Linked DNA regions of Ovis aries. The protein of the gene in region 1 interacts with the protein of each later gene in a biochemical or structural test. Links are inferred from orthologs where the notes say so. Each region holds a gene or a part of one and is shown in the gene's direction. Other genes may lie near its edges.

Evidence for each region. The genes of interacting proteins can lie anywhere in the genome.
Region 2: the proteins of PRKN (region 1) and UBE2V1 form a complex in vitro, tested with the Homo sapiens proteins (4 studies listed by BioGRID). The link is inferred for Ovis aries from reciprocal best matches to the Homo sapiens genes PRKN and UBE2V1.
Region 3: of the proteins of PRKN (region 1) and CCNE1, one has a biochemical effect on the other in vitro, tested with the Homo sapiens proteins (2 studies listed by BioGRID). The link is inferred for Ovis aries from reciprocal best matches to the Homo sapiens genes PRKN and CCNE1.
Region 4: of the proteins of PRKN (region 1) and MFN2, one has a biochemical effect on the other in vitro, tested with the Homo sapiens proteins (2 studies listed by BioGRID). The link is inferred for Ovis aries from reciprocal best matches to the Homo sapiens genes PRKN and MFN2.
Region 5: of the proteins of PRKN (region 1) and MFN1, one has a biochemical effect on the other in vitro, tested with the Homo sapiens proteins (3 studies listed by BioGRID). The link is inferred for Ovis aries from reciprocal best matches to the Homo sapiens genes PRKN and MFN1.

Annotation. Positions count from the first base shown.
Region 1 is NC_056061.1:85,935,219-85,939,499, reverse strand, and holds the start of PRKN (E3 ubiquitin-protein ligase parkin), read left to right. Parts: upstream 1-1,481; 5' UTR 1,482-1,582; coding exon 1,583-1,589; intron 1,590-4,281. Other genes in the region: PACRG (parkin coregulated gene protein), read right to left, coding at 842-997. UniProt on the Homo sapiens protein: Functions within a multiprotein E3 ubiquitin ligase complex, catalyzing the covalent attachment of ubiquitin moieties onto substrate proteins. Substrates include SYT11 and VDAC1.
Region 2 is NC_056066.1:78,133,583-78,136,339, reverse strand, and holds part of UBE2V1 (ubiquitin-conjugating enzyme E2 variant 1), read left to right. Parts: intron 1-1,937; coding exon 1,938-2,063; intron 2,064-2,757. UniProt on the Homo sapiens protein: Has no ubiquitin ligase activity on its own. The UBE2V1-UBE2N heterodimer catalyzes the synthesis of non-canonical poly-ubiquitin chains that are linked through Lys-63.
Region 3 is NC_056067.1:39,915,271-39,918,770, forward strand, and holds part of CCNE1 (G1/S-specific cyclin-E1), read left to right. Parts: intron 1-1,954; coding exon 1,955-2,106; intron 2,107-2,225; coding exon 2,226-2,361; intron 2,362-3,500. UniProt on the Homo sapiens protein: Essential for the control of the cell cycle at the G1/S (start) transition.
Region 4 is NC_056065.1:40,951,640-40,955,139, reverse strand, and holds part of MFN2 (mitofusin-2), read left to right. Parts: intron 1-130; coding exon 131-255; intron 256-1,190; coding exon 1,191-1,299; intron 1,300-1,411; coding exon 1,412-1,519; intron 1,520-2,842; coding exon 2,843-2,996; intron 2,997-3,165; coding exon 3,166-3,233; intron 3,234-3,375; coding exon 3,376-3,497; intron 3,498-3,500. UniProt on the Homo sapiens protein: Mitochondrial outer membrane GTPase that mediates mitochondrial clustering and fusion. Mitochondria are highly dynamic organelles, and their morphology is determined by the equilibrium between mitochondrial fusion and fission events.
Region 5 is NC_056054.1:208,514,322-208,517,821, reverse strand, and holds part of MFN1 (mitofusin-1), read left to right. Parts: intron 1-121; coding exon 122-275; intron 276-391; coding exon 392-459; intron 460-3,500. UniProt on the Homo sapiens protein: Mitochondrial outer membrane GTPase that mediates mitochondrial clustering and fusion. Membrane clustering requires GTPase activity. It may involve a major rearrangement of the coiled coil domains.

The DNA of each region.
Region 1 (4,281 bases):
CAAATTTGAAAGCTGCATTTATTATTGAATATATCATTCTCAGCCAGGTGCTTAGTCAGTAGGAAAACCTGGTGTAGCACACATTTAAAGCTTTTTTTTTAAAACTGTTATGCATATACTGAAACCTGCCATGTGCAGTTTAAACTTTTCCCCCCTAATACTATTGAGAATAATGGATTTTTACTACCACAAAACAATAGAAATGAAATATGAATTGTATTAATAGTCAGAAGTATTTGCATCAAATCTTGGAAATTTTAAAATTAAAAGTTTAAAAGGTCTATTTGGAAACAGACTTCTTATTAAGTTGCTTCTCAGTACTCTAACATGCCTTTTCGTGAGAATCTTATTAGAAAAAATGCTAGGATATTCTTATAATATCTAGGTTGAATTGATAAAATTTCTTACTGTTAATGAGTTTGGGTTCCCAGCTGTACATCAGAAATGTTAAATTTTGCAAGGGAGTTCATGATTTCCAAGCCTTCTCCTTCTATTAAGGCGCTTTTCTGAGTGGGGCTAGTTTAGGAATCAATAAGTAAAGGGGATCTTTCTTTGTGTATATAGCTGAAGCATAGATTCAGGTGGTCTAGAAACCCTGAGTTATTAGGAAGGTGCTTAGAAACGAGCACAGTACATCAGTTGCCCGAGACTCCTTCTTAACATCCCAGCCTGGACCTCCACACTCTGTTGGGCACCGTCTGCCACTGGCCGAATAAATTGCCATTTTGGGCGAAGACCACCCAGGACATGGGCTCAGAATCCATCCTAGGGCCAGCCAATCTCTGCAACCTGGGGTCCCCTGACTGGGAGCGAGTGCATTCGATTCGGGAAGATCACTTACGACTGAGTTTTTCATCATGGCTTTGACTGTGAAGCCCTCAGAAACCAGGGAGTGAGGCTGGTGCACCGGGAGCGGCTGCTGTGCCAGGAGCTTGGTCTTCGTCGGCAGCTTGGCTGGGCATTTGTTTAAGCTCAGGGTCTCTTTTTCTGCCACCATCTTCCTAGAAAATGTCTTGTTCTCATACAACGTGTAGTAAAAGAGTCAGTGAGATTTATGGATGTGAGGAGGAGGTCGGGGGGAAAAAATGGAAAAAGGCGCGTTAATGGTAGAAATTCAACCCCTTCGTAGCAGTGGTCGATCCAGATGTTTGGCAGCTCCTAGGTGCTGGGAGTTGAGGGGAAGGGAGGGGCGGGAAGAGGGCAGGGCCGAGGCCAGAGCTGCCACAAGCTTCCAAAGGTAACCCTCCCGGTTGCTAAGCGACGCGTCAACACTGAGGCCGGATGGCCCCGCCTCCCGGTGACGTATACGTTTCCTGGGCCTCAGGCCGGAAGGGCGGGCGGCGGGCGGCGACTGACCCGAGGCGGTACTTAACGAGTGAAAACTACGACTCCCAGAAGGCCGCGGGCGGCACGCCGTTCGCGCGTGCGCGTTTCGAGGGCCGGGCGCCGGGAGGAGGGGGAGGGGGAGGGGCGTCCCGGACGATTTAACCCCGGAGCGCCGCTCGTGTGAGGCGCAGGCGGGCGCCCGGGTGCGAGTGGGACCCTGCTCGCCTGGCGGGCCGCGTCCGCCTGCCCAGTGGCCATGATAGGTACGTGGGTACCTGCCAGGTACAGCGTCTCTGCGCCGCCCCTCTCGGCGGGGACCCCCCCCACCCCGGGTGCCCGCTGTCAGTGGCGGGTGGCGGTGTCCGCGCTCCCCTCAGCCCGCGCCGCCGGCTCCCCGAGAAGACGTGTGTGTCTCTGTCCCAAGCCCCGCCCGCGCCCGCCTTGCCAGGCTTCTTCCCGGAGACGCCTTCGCCAGGGGGGCCCAGCGCGGGCGTCCGTGGGGAAGCCCCTCTTCCCGCCGCCCGCTCGAGCGCGGGGGTCCGTAGGGAACCCCCTCTTCCCGCGCCAACTCGGGGCGCCTTGGGGGGCTGTCTTCCCGCTGAGGACGGGGCGGGGGGACCCACACTGTCCGGGGAGCTCTTGAAGGGAAACCTTAGCGAAGCGCTAAACTCTTGATAGACCGGTGCCTGGTGATGGTGCTTGAGGTCAAAAGAAATTCCCGCAGGTGGATTTGAACTTCTTACACTCTTGGATTTTTGTCTTCTAGATAATCTCTTTGGAGGTCTGAGATGAAAGAATAATTAATAGTGAATGATAGTAAGGATTAAAACTTCCAGCATGATGAATTTACGATTCATTATGCAACAACCTTTTTTAAAATATATATATATATAAATCTTTATATATACATGTATATATATACACACACACACAGAATGACCTAGCTGCATTTTTGTGAATAAAGCTTTGGAAGTGGCTGTTAGAATTGCTTGTAATCACTGTAGTAAAGAAGACTGGAAAAGTCCCCCTTTTCCAGGATTGTTAAGCCAAAAATTAGTTTATCTCTGAAAATTAGTGGAAATATACGATGTGATTACAAAACATTGCTCCTTGGGGAGTTTATTATGACAGATTTCCTCTAGACTGTGTGTTAATTGGTTTGGTGAGGTTTTTTTTTTTGGGGGGGGCGAGTTATTCTTGACTGGGTGCCGCTTAAAGCACTTTTGATTGCCTCAGGTGCGTGTGAATGTAGTTTATCCAAGAAGATGGAAGGTGATTTTTAAAAGTAAGTTTCTACATACTGATAAACTCTTCTTACATCAGTTATTTATTAGACTAATGTTAAAATCTGAAACGTTCTATCCAACACTAGGAGGAATATGCCAGCTAACCGACACTGCAACAATGTAAAACCTGAGGATGTTGTCCAGTTTTTCCTACTTTTCTAACATGATGTGGTTTCTGATGAATGGGTTATCTAATTAAGAAAAATATATAAGGTTTTGTGAATATTTTGACCTTTTTTAGGTGACAGTTACACGAGATTCATTTTCTAACGCAAATCTAAACTGAATCAGAAAAATATGAAAATTTCCAAAATTCATGCTGTCCATATTTTACAGGGAAAAAATAGTCTACACCTTGTCTTGAAGACAGTTGTACAGATTTTATTGTAATTGAACATAATCTGATACATGGATAATTCTAAAAGAAATAAATTTACAGTAAAGCTATTTAGGGGCTTCCCCAGTGATACTAGTGGTAAAGAACCTGACTCTGTGCAGGAGATATAAGAGACGCAGGTTCTGTCCCTGGATCGGGAAGATCCCCTGGAGGAGGGCATGGAAACCCACTCCAGTATTCATGCCTGGAGAATCCCATGGACAAAGAAGCCTGGTGGGCTACAGGCCATATGGTCGCAAAGAGTTGGATATGACTGAAGCAACCTAGCACGCTCACACGCAAAGCTATGTAAAGGCAAGAATTTAAGATCTAAAAGTCATCAGTTAATTCTGAATTATTCTCTAAGATGATTATATAAATAATGTTGTTAGAATGAACTATGTTTAGGTGGTTTAGTTTGGGATTTAGGGACACAGGAAGGAAGAGTATTATCTTTAGATCTGATGATTAGACATTTCTTAATCACTGGTAGTGCCATGGAGAATATAAGGTGGTATTTTAAAAGTGTTGTTTCTCATACTCCAGCTATTGTTTTACACGCTGCAAATAAGTATAACATAAATAATTAAATCCATGTACTCTCCTGAGAAAAATACTTCACATGTTAAAGCCATGTGGATAATATACAATAAATTATTCTGTACAGCTACTCAACTAGTTGCATTGCCTAATTCTGTCAGTGGGTATATTGTAATAAAAATCTTAATTGCCAATTTTGGGCTTGGTTATGTTGAATAATGCCAAAGGTAAGTGAAAGTGGGAGCAATTGAAGGAAGGTCTTGGAGTGATGAGTTTCCCATTTCTGATAAAACTTTGGAGCCAGGAAAGGCATTATAGTCTATATCCAGTGATATACGGAAGATTAAACATATTCACTAATATATATATGGGGATGATTTTATTTTTTGTTTACCGACATGTGTGCTACTCAGGTGGCGCCAGTGGTAAGCAACCTGCCTGCCAGTGCGGGAGACATGAGAGATGCGGGTTCCATCCCCGGGTCAGGAAGAATCCCTGGAGGAGGAAATGGGGGTCCGTGGGGGACCCCCACAGCAATTGATTTCCTCACTACCAATAAAATTATCTTCCTTTACCTTCTCAAAACTCACGATTCTTTCTTGTCACAGAGACTGTTTCAAAAGTACTACATGTCCCAGTTAGATTAATATGTTAAATGCCCTGACTCAGCTACAGAAACAACTTAAGTAGGTGAAAAATTATTATTTTTTGAGAAATATGGAGAGGACTGTAAATAAACCAGAATAAAAAGCT
Region 2 (2,757 bases), on another chromosome or scaffold:
TAAATGGAGTATCATCTGCAAAAATACTGAGTCACTGTTGTATACCAGGAACTAATACTGTCAACTGTATTGCAATATAAATAGATAAATAAGCAAACATTCATTGTATACTACTTCCAGATTTACAGAAAAGTTGCAATGTTCATTCATTCAATAAACAGATGAGTACCAGTTCGGTTGAGGCCCCTGCCCGCCTTGTTCCGAGATTAGTGAGGGGTGTCTGGCGGGTGACTGGGCGTCAGTCTTCAAATGAGGGGTCCCGAGAACTCTGAGGGGAAGATGCATGGGAGCTGAGCTGCGAGGCTCAGAGCAGCAGCTGGTATGAGCACCCCAAGGAGAGGACTCAGTGTGTCTGAAGAGTGTGACGAGGAGGCCGGAGGGGCGGGATGAGGAAGGAGAAGCAACGGAGAGGAGGGCAGGGCCGCATGGGGTCCAGTCCAGGAACCGGGCCCCCCTTTCTCGGGTCTCCAGGAAGCCACTGGAGGGGTGAGGCCACAGGCACAGTTTCCAGGGCTGTCTGGGGAGCAGGTGCTAGGGGCGCGAGAGAAGGCAGAGGCCTGGGGTCATCTGGAGGAGGCGCACAGTAGAGGAAGGTTGGGTGAGTGTGCATCCCTTCTGATGCCTGGGATGAGGAGTGAGGGAAAAGGGAGTCATGGCTGGCTGCCAGTTTGCTCTAACTGCCGGATGGTGCTCCTGCTTACCAGGGAAGAAGGCAGGTGGGGGGAAATCCTGAGTTGAGCTTTTGTTACAGCTTGGGGTCCCTGTGAAGTGGATGTGGTATGGGACTATTATGCATTCTGGATCTTAAAATATATGTTCCAGTTTTTAAGCTAGGGACAGGCCACTATTTTAGACGGAATGTTTTCAAGCCTTTTAATCATCCTTCTTAATGTGCTCCCCCCAAAGGCCGCTAGATGTCACTGTTCACACGGCCGTTTCTTGTGCAGCACGGGGTGCAGAGGGCACAGGGCGCGGGTGAGGGCCCCGGAGGAGGCCGGTCTCCCTGCAAAGGGGGCCAGTCTGACCGGGAGGTGTCAGCCGCGGTTTGGTGTGGTCTTCAGATACGCAGATGATGATAACGCAGCTTCACGTGAGAAAACCGTGCACAGCCTTCTGATTAACATGCTGCTTGAACTGGGTCTCGAAGGCTATGAGGTGGTCCGAGTGGGGGTTCAGCACTTTAGGCAGAAGGAACCGCCTGGAGAAGGCGGCGCACTCCACTGCTCACCGGGCAGAAGTGACAAGGGAGCCATCCCCGGGCATGAGGCGGGACTCGGTGTTTCTTAGTGGAGGCTCGGTTGGCGCTCGGAGAAGGACCGTTTCTCCTGGGCAGGTCTGGCGTCCTCGGCCCCCTCCCCCCACACACCTCCTCGATGCCGGGTGGTCCTAAAGGCAGCAGGGACGGAGTGCCTGTGGCTGAGATCCCTTCCCAGAGCGCGGCCCCGGTGGTGAGGAGTGGAAGGCAACCCTGTGTCTGTGCCCACCCTGATCTTGTGCTTGAGTTCAAAGTCCTCTAGAGTTGCTTGTTCTTTACTCTGTACATGATGGTATCTAGTGCCTTGGCTGATGATCCCAGCATGAGTAGACATCAGTGTGACTTCCCAGAATGAAGGATGCCTCTTACACGTCATTTTCCAGAGTGTAGACAAATGAACAGAAAAGCCAAGTCCATCTGATTGGGCCTAATGATGCCACCCTAAGACTTCAGTGACACTGGCTTAAATTTCCTGGCTTCTTTATATTCCCCCAAAGCCAGGATGCATAGGCGCTGGTGCAGGGACTGATTACGACTAACTTAGCAAACAGCGAGTAGACTCTGAATGGTGGCAGCAGACACACCAGCTCTGCATGGGGAATAAATGGGGTTTCAGAAGTTGTGCAGTTTTTTAATTCTTTGTAATTGCCTGACATGGCTATGCCTTCTATTTTTTTTCCAGACAATTTATGAAAACCGAATATACAGCCTTAAAATAGAATGTGGACCTAAATACCCAGAAGCACCCCCCTTTGTAAGATTTGTAACAAAAATTAATATGAATGGAGTTAATAGTTCTAATGGAGTGGTAAGTTGTTTCTGCTGCCCCTCCTTGTCCCCTGGGGGTCCCCCAGATTCTTTGTGCTCGAATGTCAGGGGCACTTGGGGCCTGATTGCATTTGTTCCTTGGTTACTGGATGATGACATGTACCGCAGGACACACACGTGCTGTTTTGGAGGGAGGGCCTGTTTCCCAGTTGTGTTTCAGCACAACTTGTATGGCGTTGGCTCTGGGCTGTTATCACTCAGCCTGTGCCGGTCACTTTGAGAGGAGCGCTCCTTCAGCCTTCCTGCTACACCCCCAAGAGGTAGAGGCAAGGAAATGGAGGCAGAGAGGGAAAAGACCGCCCCAACGCCACGCTTCTCCCCACGGGCCTTATTTCTGCACCATGGACATATAATACTTTCTCCTTGTAATGGCCTTGCTTTCTTATTTTTGCCACTGTTTTCACTGCCGTGAATGGAGACCAGTCTCATCTGCCGTAAGCAGGTGCTGGTGGTGACACCACAGTAAACGCTGTAAAAGCAGAGCAGGGGCAGCCGACGGCCCCGTGCCGCGCGCCAAAGGCGCTCGAGCCTCTGAGGCCCACCTGATGTCCTAAACCCAGGAGAAGTTCCTGCTTGGAGGCGTTTCTCCAGGGGGGCACTGCACTGACTTGAGGGGGGTGGCTCGGACAGGCTCTGGTCTGCTGTTGCCTCACTCTCCCTACTGCCCTGAGCGG
Region 3 (3,500 bases), on another chromosome or scaffold:
CTGCTACATCAAGACCACATGGAACCTTTGATTCTTACCTTGGGTTTTTCCCAATGAAAATAATGCTCTTTTGTCTAAAGTCTATTTAACATATCCATTTTGTTCAATTTTTCGCATGAGACCCAACTTGTTTATTGAAATGGAGTCCTAGAATTTCTATTAGTTACTTCTCAGAACATAATTTTGCATAAGGTGGTTTCATTCTCCATTAAAAGAGGTACAAAGAGTCAGAGGTGGTTAGAAATAATCAAACTGGTCTCTTGCTATTATCCCTTTCCTTCCTAAAGTCAGATTGATCTCACTTTCTTTGAGACATGGTATACATTCAAGTTAAAGAATATAGACTTCATTATTCTGCTTCATACACTGGTCAAAGGCCAACTTTGGGGACCATTTGTCTGCTTGTGGTTCACCTGATTTGTCTGTGTACTGCAGGTTGGGAACTGTTAACATTTTATCTCCAAAAGTCTTCTCTCAACTATTTCAGCCATCTGGCTGTAGAGGGTGACACCCAGCTTCTGCTTTCAAAACTAGAATTCATTCTTGAATGAATACGACTTAAAGCAGTTGTAACATGATCCTTTTGAGTCAAGGAAATGATACCAGCACATGATACTAGAACTGGAAGAGGATGTTGCCCTTCTCCAACAGCTGTTGGCAAGATCTGTCATGGTTAATTTGCATGCCCAATTCTTTGCACATTGGATGGAGGAGAGCTTTATCCTACTCTGCTCTTCTCAGTACCTTGAAAGTGCTCTGGCTTCCTCTGAAAGTGGCCAGTGTGCCGTGATAGCCACCCCGTCCCATGTCTTCCAAGCAGCACTTGGAGAGCCCAAGTTTCCATGTTCATTTACAGTCCTCTTGGTTGTCTCTTTTCCAGTCAACACTGATGATCTCTCTGCTTTAAAAAAAATTGCTGAGTCTCAGACCTTTAACAGAGCGTCCGTGCTGGCAGGATTGTTAACGTGCCATATCTTCAATAAGTTCATTATAATTTTAAAAAACAATCATAGTTGTTTCGAGTAAGATGATAAACAGTAGCTTTACAAAGAAAAAGCTTTAAATGGCAAAATGACATTTTCCAAATATTAAAAATTGAATTAAATATCTGGACTTTTTAAAAGAACCATTGTTTGGGTTTTTAATGATGGTTTAGCATTTATTACTATATAAGACTTTGGGGGTGGGTTTCAAAGGTCTTCAGGAATATCTAGGCTTTATCTCTATAGACTTCTTAGTAAATCCTGTGACTGTTGCTTGATGTGGTTTTAAGTAGGCAGATACTCCTTTGTTTTTTTTCCATTTGAATTAAGGAAAACGAAAGGTCCTCATTATGTAATATATTTGGCTTGACCTGCAACCAAAGGAAGATGTCACATTTGGTGGGTTTTTATTAAATGAGGAAACTAAATATAGATGGGAATCAGTTTTATACTTGTGGTTGTGGAGTGCTTATGTAAATACTTTTATTGGAAACTCTGTCTTTCACTTTTAAGACATTTTATTAGGTTAGTTGTACTTGTTAAAAATCCCAAGTCTTTGAATTGTGACCAAATCTCCCAATACCCTTTTGGAGCCATGCTTAGTGTCTTACTGAACTGCGAGTAGATTTTCTTTTTCGGTAACATAAGAGCTGTTTGCATTTTGTCTTACCCTTCCTGTGCCCTCACACACCTCATATGAGGATGATGATATGGAGAATAAAATGCTACTGACTAGTTTTCTTAGGTACTTACTGCATAGACTCCTGAGAAAATGAAAGCTTGGAGTCATTACTGTGTCTTCCATGCTATCTCCATCTTAATTTAGGCTGGAATATTGATTTAGGCCTAGAGATTGCTCTAGGTGTGTAAAGACATTTTGTTTTTTTGTTTTACTGGCTGTTTTACAAATCAATGAATGTAAAAACAGCTGGTTTGCATCAAACTTTTTTTAACATGTCTTTATTTTACAGCCTTGGGACAGTAATACAGCCTGTGAAAACCCCTGCTCCCTGATTCCCACACCTGACAAAGAAGAGGATGAACTTCTGTACCCACACGCTGCGTACAAGCCTCAGAGGTGCACGCCATCGTCATCCAGAGCGTCGCCACTGCCTGTACTGAAGTAAGCTGACCACCGAGTGCCTCCTGGGTCTCTTACTCCCTGTGTGCACTTCCACTTCGCTAGCTGGATGCATACTGATGCCTGTCTTTTGTGTTTTGCTTGGTTTTGTTTTTTTGTAGCTGGGCAAATAGAGAGGAAGTATGGAAAATCATGTTAAACAAGGAGAAGACATACTTGAGGGACAAGCATCTTATGCAACGGCACCCTCTTCTGCAGCCTAAAATGCGAGCAATTCTTCTGGATTGGTTAATGGAGGTAGGTTGGGCCTTCTGGTTAACTAGAAGCATTGACCGTTTCTAGATTTTTTTGTGATGTTGTCATCTCTTCACGTGTTTGATTCCATTGACACATTGTGTGTCTCTGAACTGTGGTATATACACTACAGTGGTTTAACTTTTTTGCTTATGTACTTCCTTAAAAGAATTTCTGAAGTCTGTTTATCCCTTAGATGTTTTTAAGTTGGCATCTGAAGTTTTTTCTCAAAGTTTAAATAGTTGCAAAGGTTGTATTTTCCAATTAATTATAAATATTGGTATTTGATCTTTGTTAATTAAATTGCTTACGTGTACACAATAGAATGTGTAACAGCTATTTGATAGCTTACTACCAAATGTTTTAAAAATATATGAACAAATTTATCTTTAACAGTCAGAAATTTTACATTGTTTCATTTTAACTCCTTGGGACCCATTTCTCTTTCCCCACAGAAGTTGATCCTAACAAAATATATTGTTCAAGTCTTCTATTGATCACACTATCGTACTTCACATTATCATACAAAAATTTATCAAATAACAAGATATAAGTTATAGTAAATAATTGTTAGATACAAGAAGTTATGATGTATAGGCAGTGCACCTCTTTCTAGGAGGAAGTGTGGGTGTCTCAATAGTGGCTTGATTAAGGGACATTTCTTGGATACCACTTCCCTTGTGGCTCAGATGGTAGAGAATCCTTCTGCATTGCAGGAGATCCAGGTTTGATCCTTGGGTCAGGAAGATCCCCTGGAAAAGGTAATGGGAATCCACTCCAGTGTTCTCGCCTAGACAATCCCATGGACAGAGGAGCCTAGCGGGCTACAGTCCCTGGGGTTGCAGAGTCAGACACAACTGAGTGACTAACAAACATACCTTGGGTGGGTGCAAAATGAGCTTTCTTCCGTGAGTGGAAGGGTATCTTAGGCAGATCCATTTTATGAAAGTATATATGGAAGCTGAGTGGCTATGTATTCCCTGAAAACAAACTGCCGTGTACCCTTCAGAAAGTTTGTATTGACAGGGGTATTTGTTCCCTAGTTGTGCTTATCCTAGAGTCAAATCTGCTGCCACCTAACATCTTTGTGCCTCAGTCAGGCAAGTCACTTAACTTGATTTTCTCATTGTAATGTTTTCTAT
Region 4 (3,500 bases), on another chromosome or scaffold:
TGCATGAAATGAAAGAGGGGTAGCAGATTGGCCTGCGAGCCAGGCCACTGTCCTGGGGCTAGGCTGCACTGGTCTCCAGCCTGGAGGCTCTTCCTTGACCCTGATTATCTTCTGCCTCCACCCCCATCAGACGGTGAACCAGCTGGCGCATGCCCTTCACCAGGACGAACAGCTGCATGCCGGCAGCCTGGTGAGTGTGATGTGGCCCAACTCCAAGTGCCCGCTTCTCAAGGATGACCTGGTGCTGATGGACAGGTAAGAGGGCAGGTGCCTCCCTAGGAGGTGCAGACGGGGAGGGCCCCAGGTTTCCATTTCTGGGTCCTCCAGGCCAGTGTCCCCAAGGTCATGTTGTTGCTCTGCTGAAGTATATTAGTTTTTAAACCAGCTTAGCCACATCTTCCAGCCTCGTGGATTTCCTTCAGGGTCTGGTTATTGTATCATCTTGGCAGGCATCAGGGCCCCAAAGATCTCCCAGTGATGGTCTGTGAAGAGGGATAGGAAGGATGCTTGAAACTGGGGAAGGTTCTCGGCCTCAACCCAATGTTAGTATGTTTATTGGAGGAGGGGGTGGAGCTTGTTCTTGATGAGGTCCCTGTTGTGTTTTATTTTTCTCAAGGCAACACTTTGCTCCTGCTTTGTGGACAGGCTATAACTATACCAAGAAATTTGGTATGAGGGTGCTTGCTGGACTCAGATAAATGTAGCACTTCACCTTAATTGTATACCAGCAAAGTGAAATGCAGGGGCTTCCTATGGGTAAAGAACCTGCCTGCCAGTGTAGGAGATGCAGGTTTGACCCCTGGGTTGGGAAGATCGCCTGGAGGAGGGCCTGGCAACCTACTCCAGTATTCTTACCTAGAGAATCCCATGGACAGAGGAGCCTGGCAGGCTACAGTTAGTCCATAGCGTCACAAAGAGTCGGACACAACTGAAGCGACGTAGCATGCACACGTGCATGCACAAAGTCAAATTCAGATGTCTAGGTTTTCATGAGTGATAGATGCATATGACAGAAAACACATTTTCAGAGAGTCTGGAAGGATGTGAGCTGAAAAATCAGAATCCCTCCAGTAAGGGCGATTTCCCTCTCCTCTGTAGCTTTCTCTTCCTTTGCCTGCTGCCTCAGGTCTGTTCAGAGCAGGAAGAATAGGGCCCCGGGTCTGATGATGGTTTACCCCTGTCACCTCCAGCCCTGGCATTGACGTCACCACAGAACTGGACAGCTGGATTGACAAGTTTTGCCTGGACGCCGACGTGTTCGTGCTGGTGGCCAACTCGGAGTCCACCCTGATGCAGACGGTAACCGATCCTCTGCCTTTCCCCACACTCCCAAGATCCAGCCAAGCGGGTGGGCCAGCAGGGCCATGGCTGGCACAGCCCGTCCTTCACTGAGGTCTTTCCCCTCATCCAGGAAAAGCAATTCTTCCACAAGGTGAGCGAGCGCCTGTCCCGCCCAAACATCTTCATCCTGAACAACCGCTGGGATGCGTCTGCCTCGGAGCCTGAGTACATGGAGGAGGTGGGCGCCTCTTTTACTCAGCATCTTGGGGAATGCCACCCTGTACGTCTGCCTAGACTCTCTTAAATTAGTAATGAATTTCATCACTAAAGTTGTCCCATGAGGTATTCGGGGTCATTGTGGGACCGATTCACTTCTCCCATTCACTTCCCCGAACCCCTCTCCTCGTTTTTTTTTTTGAAGTGTAACTGTTTTACAGTGTTTTGTTAGTTTCTGTTGTACAGCAGAGTGGATCAGCTGTAGTATATGTGTATCCCCTTCCCCTCTAATCTTCAGAAGGCTTTTCTCTGTGCTGAGAGGCCTCCACACCACATTGGCCGAGCCCTTCCTTGGGACCAGGGCTCTCCTTAGTTCTTAAAGAATGAGTCAGAGGCGTAGCTTTGAAAGGCATCCAGGAAAGAAGCTTAAAAGAAGAGCAAAGAATAACTGGTTCTTACAGCTCAGAATGCTTTACTTTTTATGGGTAACATGAAAGAAAAAGGAGTCACAGGTGCTATGGGATGATGATCAAGTGTGTAGTCAGCAGATGCTGGGCAGTGTGACTGATAAACTCCCTAACATACCCTAACTAACCCAGGTAAATCCTAACCTGTGGGCTGGGTGTAATAGATGGAGTTGTGCAGAAGATGAGATCTGTTCACCTTGAGTAAAGGCCTGGCATGTGGAAGGTGTCCACCGGAGGCTGTTATCACTTTGAAGTTCCAGCAGTGGAGCCCTAGGGCTTCAGAGGAGGGATTTTTGGGTGGCACCCTCTCATTCAATGAACAAGGCCAGGGAGGACTCAGCTTGTCAGTACAGAGTCCAGGTGTGGGTTTCTGTGTTTCGTTTTGTTTTTTTAACATATTTCAAATTGGGGGAAAATTGTTTTACAATGTTGTATTGGTTTCTGCTGTACAACAACAAAGTCAGCCATTATCATACATATATCAACTCCTCTTGAGCCTTCCTCCCTGCCCCCTCACAGGTGTGGGTTTCTTGACCCCCAGCTTCCTTTCCTTCTGGGGCACCAAAGGGAGACTTTTGTAGGCTCTTAACAAGGCAGTCTGGGACATGTGTAAACATTTCTGCTTGTTGATGCCTCAGGTGTCTTGGACAGGCTGCACCCCAAGGAACCCTGTGACTTGGGATTTGGGGGGCCCGGTGGCTGGCGGACAGATGGTGGGAAATGATCACTGCATGTGTGTTGATACCTTCTGAATCCTGAGCCGTGTGACTAGATTACCTGTACTCTTAGAAAAGAGGCCACCAGGGGCCATGGGCTCCCTCAGGAGGGCCCCCTCGCGCCCCACCTGGTCATATAATACCTGTGTGCTTGGGCTCCAGGTGCGGCGGCAGCACATGGAGCGCTGCACCAGCTTCCTGGTGGACGAGCTGGGCGTGGTGGATCGGGGCCAGGCTGGAGACCGCATCTTTTTCGTGTCCGCCAAGGAGGTGCTCAACGCCAGGATCCAGAAGGCCCAGGGCATGCCCGAAGGAGGTGATGATGGAACCAGCTTCTTGCTTTTCCCTGACGCTTGAGACATTGGGTCTTGTGCTAAGTCAGCCGGTAGAAATCGCTGTGAGAATGAGGTGGTGAGAGGAACCCTGGGTGAGAAGCTGTTGGCTGCCTGAGTTCTCTCTGGACTAATGTGGTGCACTTCTCCTAGGGGGCGCTCTTGCAGAAGGCTTTCAAGTGAGGATGTTTGAGTTTCAGAATTTTGAGAGGAGATTTGAGGTGAGCATGAGCCTTTGATCCTGTTGTCTGGAGATCCTGTGCCTCCTTGGCGCTCCCTGGCCACGTCCCTGGCAGTTGAATGCCAGAGCCTGGCTCTTGGCTGGTGGCTTCTGCCTCCCTTGGCACCTCTTGTCTGTTCCAGGAGTGCATCTCCCAGTCGGCCGTGAAGACCAAGTTTGAGCAGCACACGGTCCGGGCCAAGCAGATCGCTGAGGCCGTCCGCCTCATCATGGACTCTCTGCACATTGCAGCGCAGGAGCAGCGGTA
Region 5 (3,500 bases), on another chromosome or scaffold:
AAACCATGTCCATTGTGTCGTGATGCCATCCTTAATATCACTATAAATGGAGTTAGTATAGGCCTGTAACTCATATTTGTTTAGTTATTAGAATTCTTTTAATACCCTCTTTTTTTGCTAGGTACGCAGACAGCACATGGAAAGATGCCTGCATTTTTTGGTGGAGGAGCTCAGAGTTGTGGATCCTTTAGAAGCACGCAATCGTATCTTTTTTGTTTCTGCAAAGGAAGTTCTTAGTGCTAGAAAGCAGAAAGCACAGGGGATGCCAGAAGGTGGTATGTATTCATTATAGATTTCCTTTTGAAATATAAATATAGATTATAAAAGTAGCATGCAAATATCTTATCTTGTTATATACCAGGTTTTAAACCTCTTCACCTAAATATTACAGGTGGGGCACTTGCAGAAGGTTTTCAGGCAAGATTACAAGAGTTTCAGAATTTTGAACAGATCTTTGAGGTAGGAGTTTTGTGAATGTATTGACTAATATAAAACTAGCATTGGTTGGAAAGTGAGCATAATCTTCTGTTTTCATTACCTGTCCTTGTTAATAACCTTTGGTGTTATTTAGTGTAGTTTCTGACAGAGCAAGTGAAGCAAGGAAAGTTTGAAGAAAGAAGGTCCCTGCGAAATGGATGATCTGTAAGAATGGAGAATTAAAGATTGTAATTTCTTATTCTTTTTTAAAAAATGTATTTGTATCTAAATGAGACATATTTTCTAATATTGTGTTATGTGATGAATATAATACTCTATATTCAGTAGTTAGGGACAAGATTAAAGAAATATAATTGCTGTTGGAATGGGTAATAGAGCAAAATGAAGATCTCTTTTCTTTTGATAGAACATAGTTAACACCACTTGACAAAAGTTAATTACATTTCTCAACTGTATTGCCACCTGTTAATTCTCCACGTTTTATGCCAAATGTGCTGAACAAAACAAACGGATGCAAGAATAATTAAGATACAGGTCCTATACTTCAGGGGAATCTAAGCTACTGAGGTGCAGGGATATCTAATGTGTGTGCCAGTGGAGAGAGACGATCCTGTTATATTTTGGGATAGGTGTTTTATTCAGAGACCTTGAAACATCCTAGATTGACTGAAAAATACTTCAGCTGTTAATCTTCTTGGCTCTAATTTAGCTCTGTCTAGTTGTATTTATTAGATTACATATCTCCTCACCCCCAGATGAACACAAATACTCAGAACTGAAAAAACTTCCATCTATAATTCTTCCTTATAAGTAGTAACTATTATAATAGTACTAAGGACATAAATATTGAATGTACTTGGCAGAATTTTTTAAATTAATCATTTGCTCACTATCCCCTACTTTTAATTTGGTGAGAAGAAAAAAGACCATTAGGTAGACAAATACAAAATGTTTAAGACAGCATACTCTCTGTTCCCTTGGTAAGGTGTTTCTGATTCTTCAGAGGTCCTTGGAATATCAATAGGTGTTTTGTCAAGTTAAGCTGTAGGATACATGATATCCCAGTTAATTAAAGATCATTTTTATATTCTTGCCCTTTTCTTGCATAAGAGATTTAATCCTCTACCCACTGTTATCAGGAACAGTCATTTCATCCATGGGAAAAATATTGGAGAGAGTATCTTTTGTTGTTTCCCTCATCTTTTCTTATTTATTGAGCTTTTCTTTCTTTGTCTGTATGTGTTTATCTTTGATTTCTCCTACCAAATCATGTACTGTTCAGTTATACACTCATACCTCTTTCATATTGGTTCCTGGTACAGCTTTTGCTTTCCCAGAATATCTCCTTGAAGAGGTGGGAATGAGAAGAATAAAAGATGTGCTGTAGAGCACTGGTCCCCAAACCTGGCTGGTGATGAGAAACACACGAGGTACTTTAGAGACCTGCAGGCTCCTGACCTATCCCAGAGACTTAATCCAGTAGGGCTAGGACGGACCTAGGAATCTCTTAAATGTTTAAAGCTCCCCAAGTGATTGCAGTAATCAGGAAGAGTTGGGAACTGTTCTTTCTAATGTTTTTAGAAGAAACTTGATATTTCACTTTTTTATTTTACAAGTTCTTTTGAGAATCTAAAAATTATGTTTGGAAAAAACTATTTATGAGCAATAGCTTTTCCATGAAGCTGTAGAGAATGTTAGGCTTTAGAGTTTGAAATTTTTGTTTAAAGCTATGATAGATATAAAATGAGAATTAGCTAAAAGTGATTTGAATTTACCTAAAGAAATAGTCATATGGGCAAACAATTTTGTCTTGATGCCCAAACCTTTTTTTGGTAATTACATTGACAGCTCTTTTCAACTGTTGGCCAAAGCTCAAGTTTGTTACCTTTAAAATTAATTTTGATAATTTATGATTTCTTATAAATTGATACATTTCTGAGAATTTATAATTTAGTATAAAATTGTTTATTTAAAAATTTCTGTATTCCTTTTCTATATTTGTCTATATACCTATATATAGATATATCATTAGATAAAGTATATAAGAAATATATATATTTTAATCTTAATTGAGATTTGTCAATGATTTTATTGCTTTGCTGTATCCTCTAAAGATTAATTGAATAATTTATCAGTTTCTAAATAGCATTTTTTGGTTGTTAGTCATTCAGTTCAACTAATGTTTACAGAAAGTTTTTTTCTGCTATGATTATAAAAGTGGAATGAATTTGTCTGTGAGTGTAGCTTTGGATGTCTTCCATGGCTTTCAGTATCCAGATTTCGTTGTTGATTAATTTTTAATTATAGTTTTTGGCATTTCCTACTCAATACAGGAGTTATTAAAATTCAGGTATTTTGATTCTTCCCATATGACTTTTCTTGATTTTTTTTTTTAACGTTATGATGACAAGATGTGGCCTTAAATGCCCATTTCCTGTTTTCAGAATTGACTTCTGTTTGTGTGTGTGTAGTCTTACAATTTTTGTGAAAAGAAAAACTGTACCAAGTTCATCATTTTATCAAACAATCTGATCTTTACCATAGAACTCTTGAGATTCATTTGATTTAGAAGAAGCTAAAAGGTATATGGTATCTTGGTGTTCTTTCTTCCACTTCTGTCAGTTTAAAATATTTCCAAGTAACACGTTTGGAGTGGTAAATAGCATGTTACTGGGTATTTGGGGTCTTTTATCAAGAAGACTTGACAAATTTGTTTTATGTTTTAATTACACATAAATATTAATACTTATAAATTTGTAACTACATATGACTAGTTGTAAGCTATTTTCTTTGGATGTAAGTAGAAAATCAGAAGATCTTAACTGAAATGTGATTATTGTTTTGCTTCTAATTTAATAAGTTTTCAAGCAGCCTCTGGCATATTCTGATAAGATGGAATTTAAATCATCTGGTGTAGTATTTTAAACTTCACCTTATGAAAGCAGAGTTCCTGATGAAATAAGTGTGGGTACTATTTGCAGGCTATATGTGACCTCCATGGAGATTCATAAGTACGTTAGTGTATACAGGACTCTGAGAAATGGTTCAGTAAAGAAGCTTTA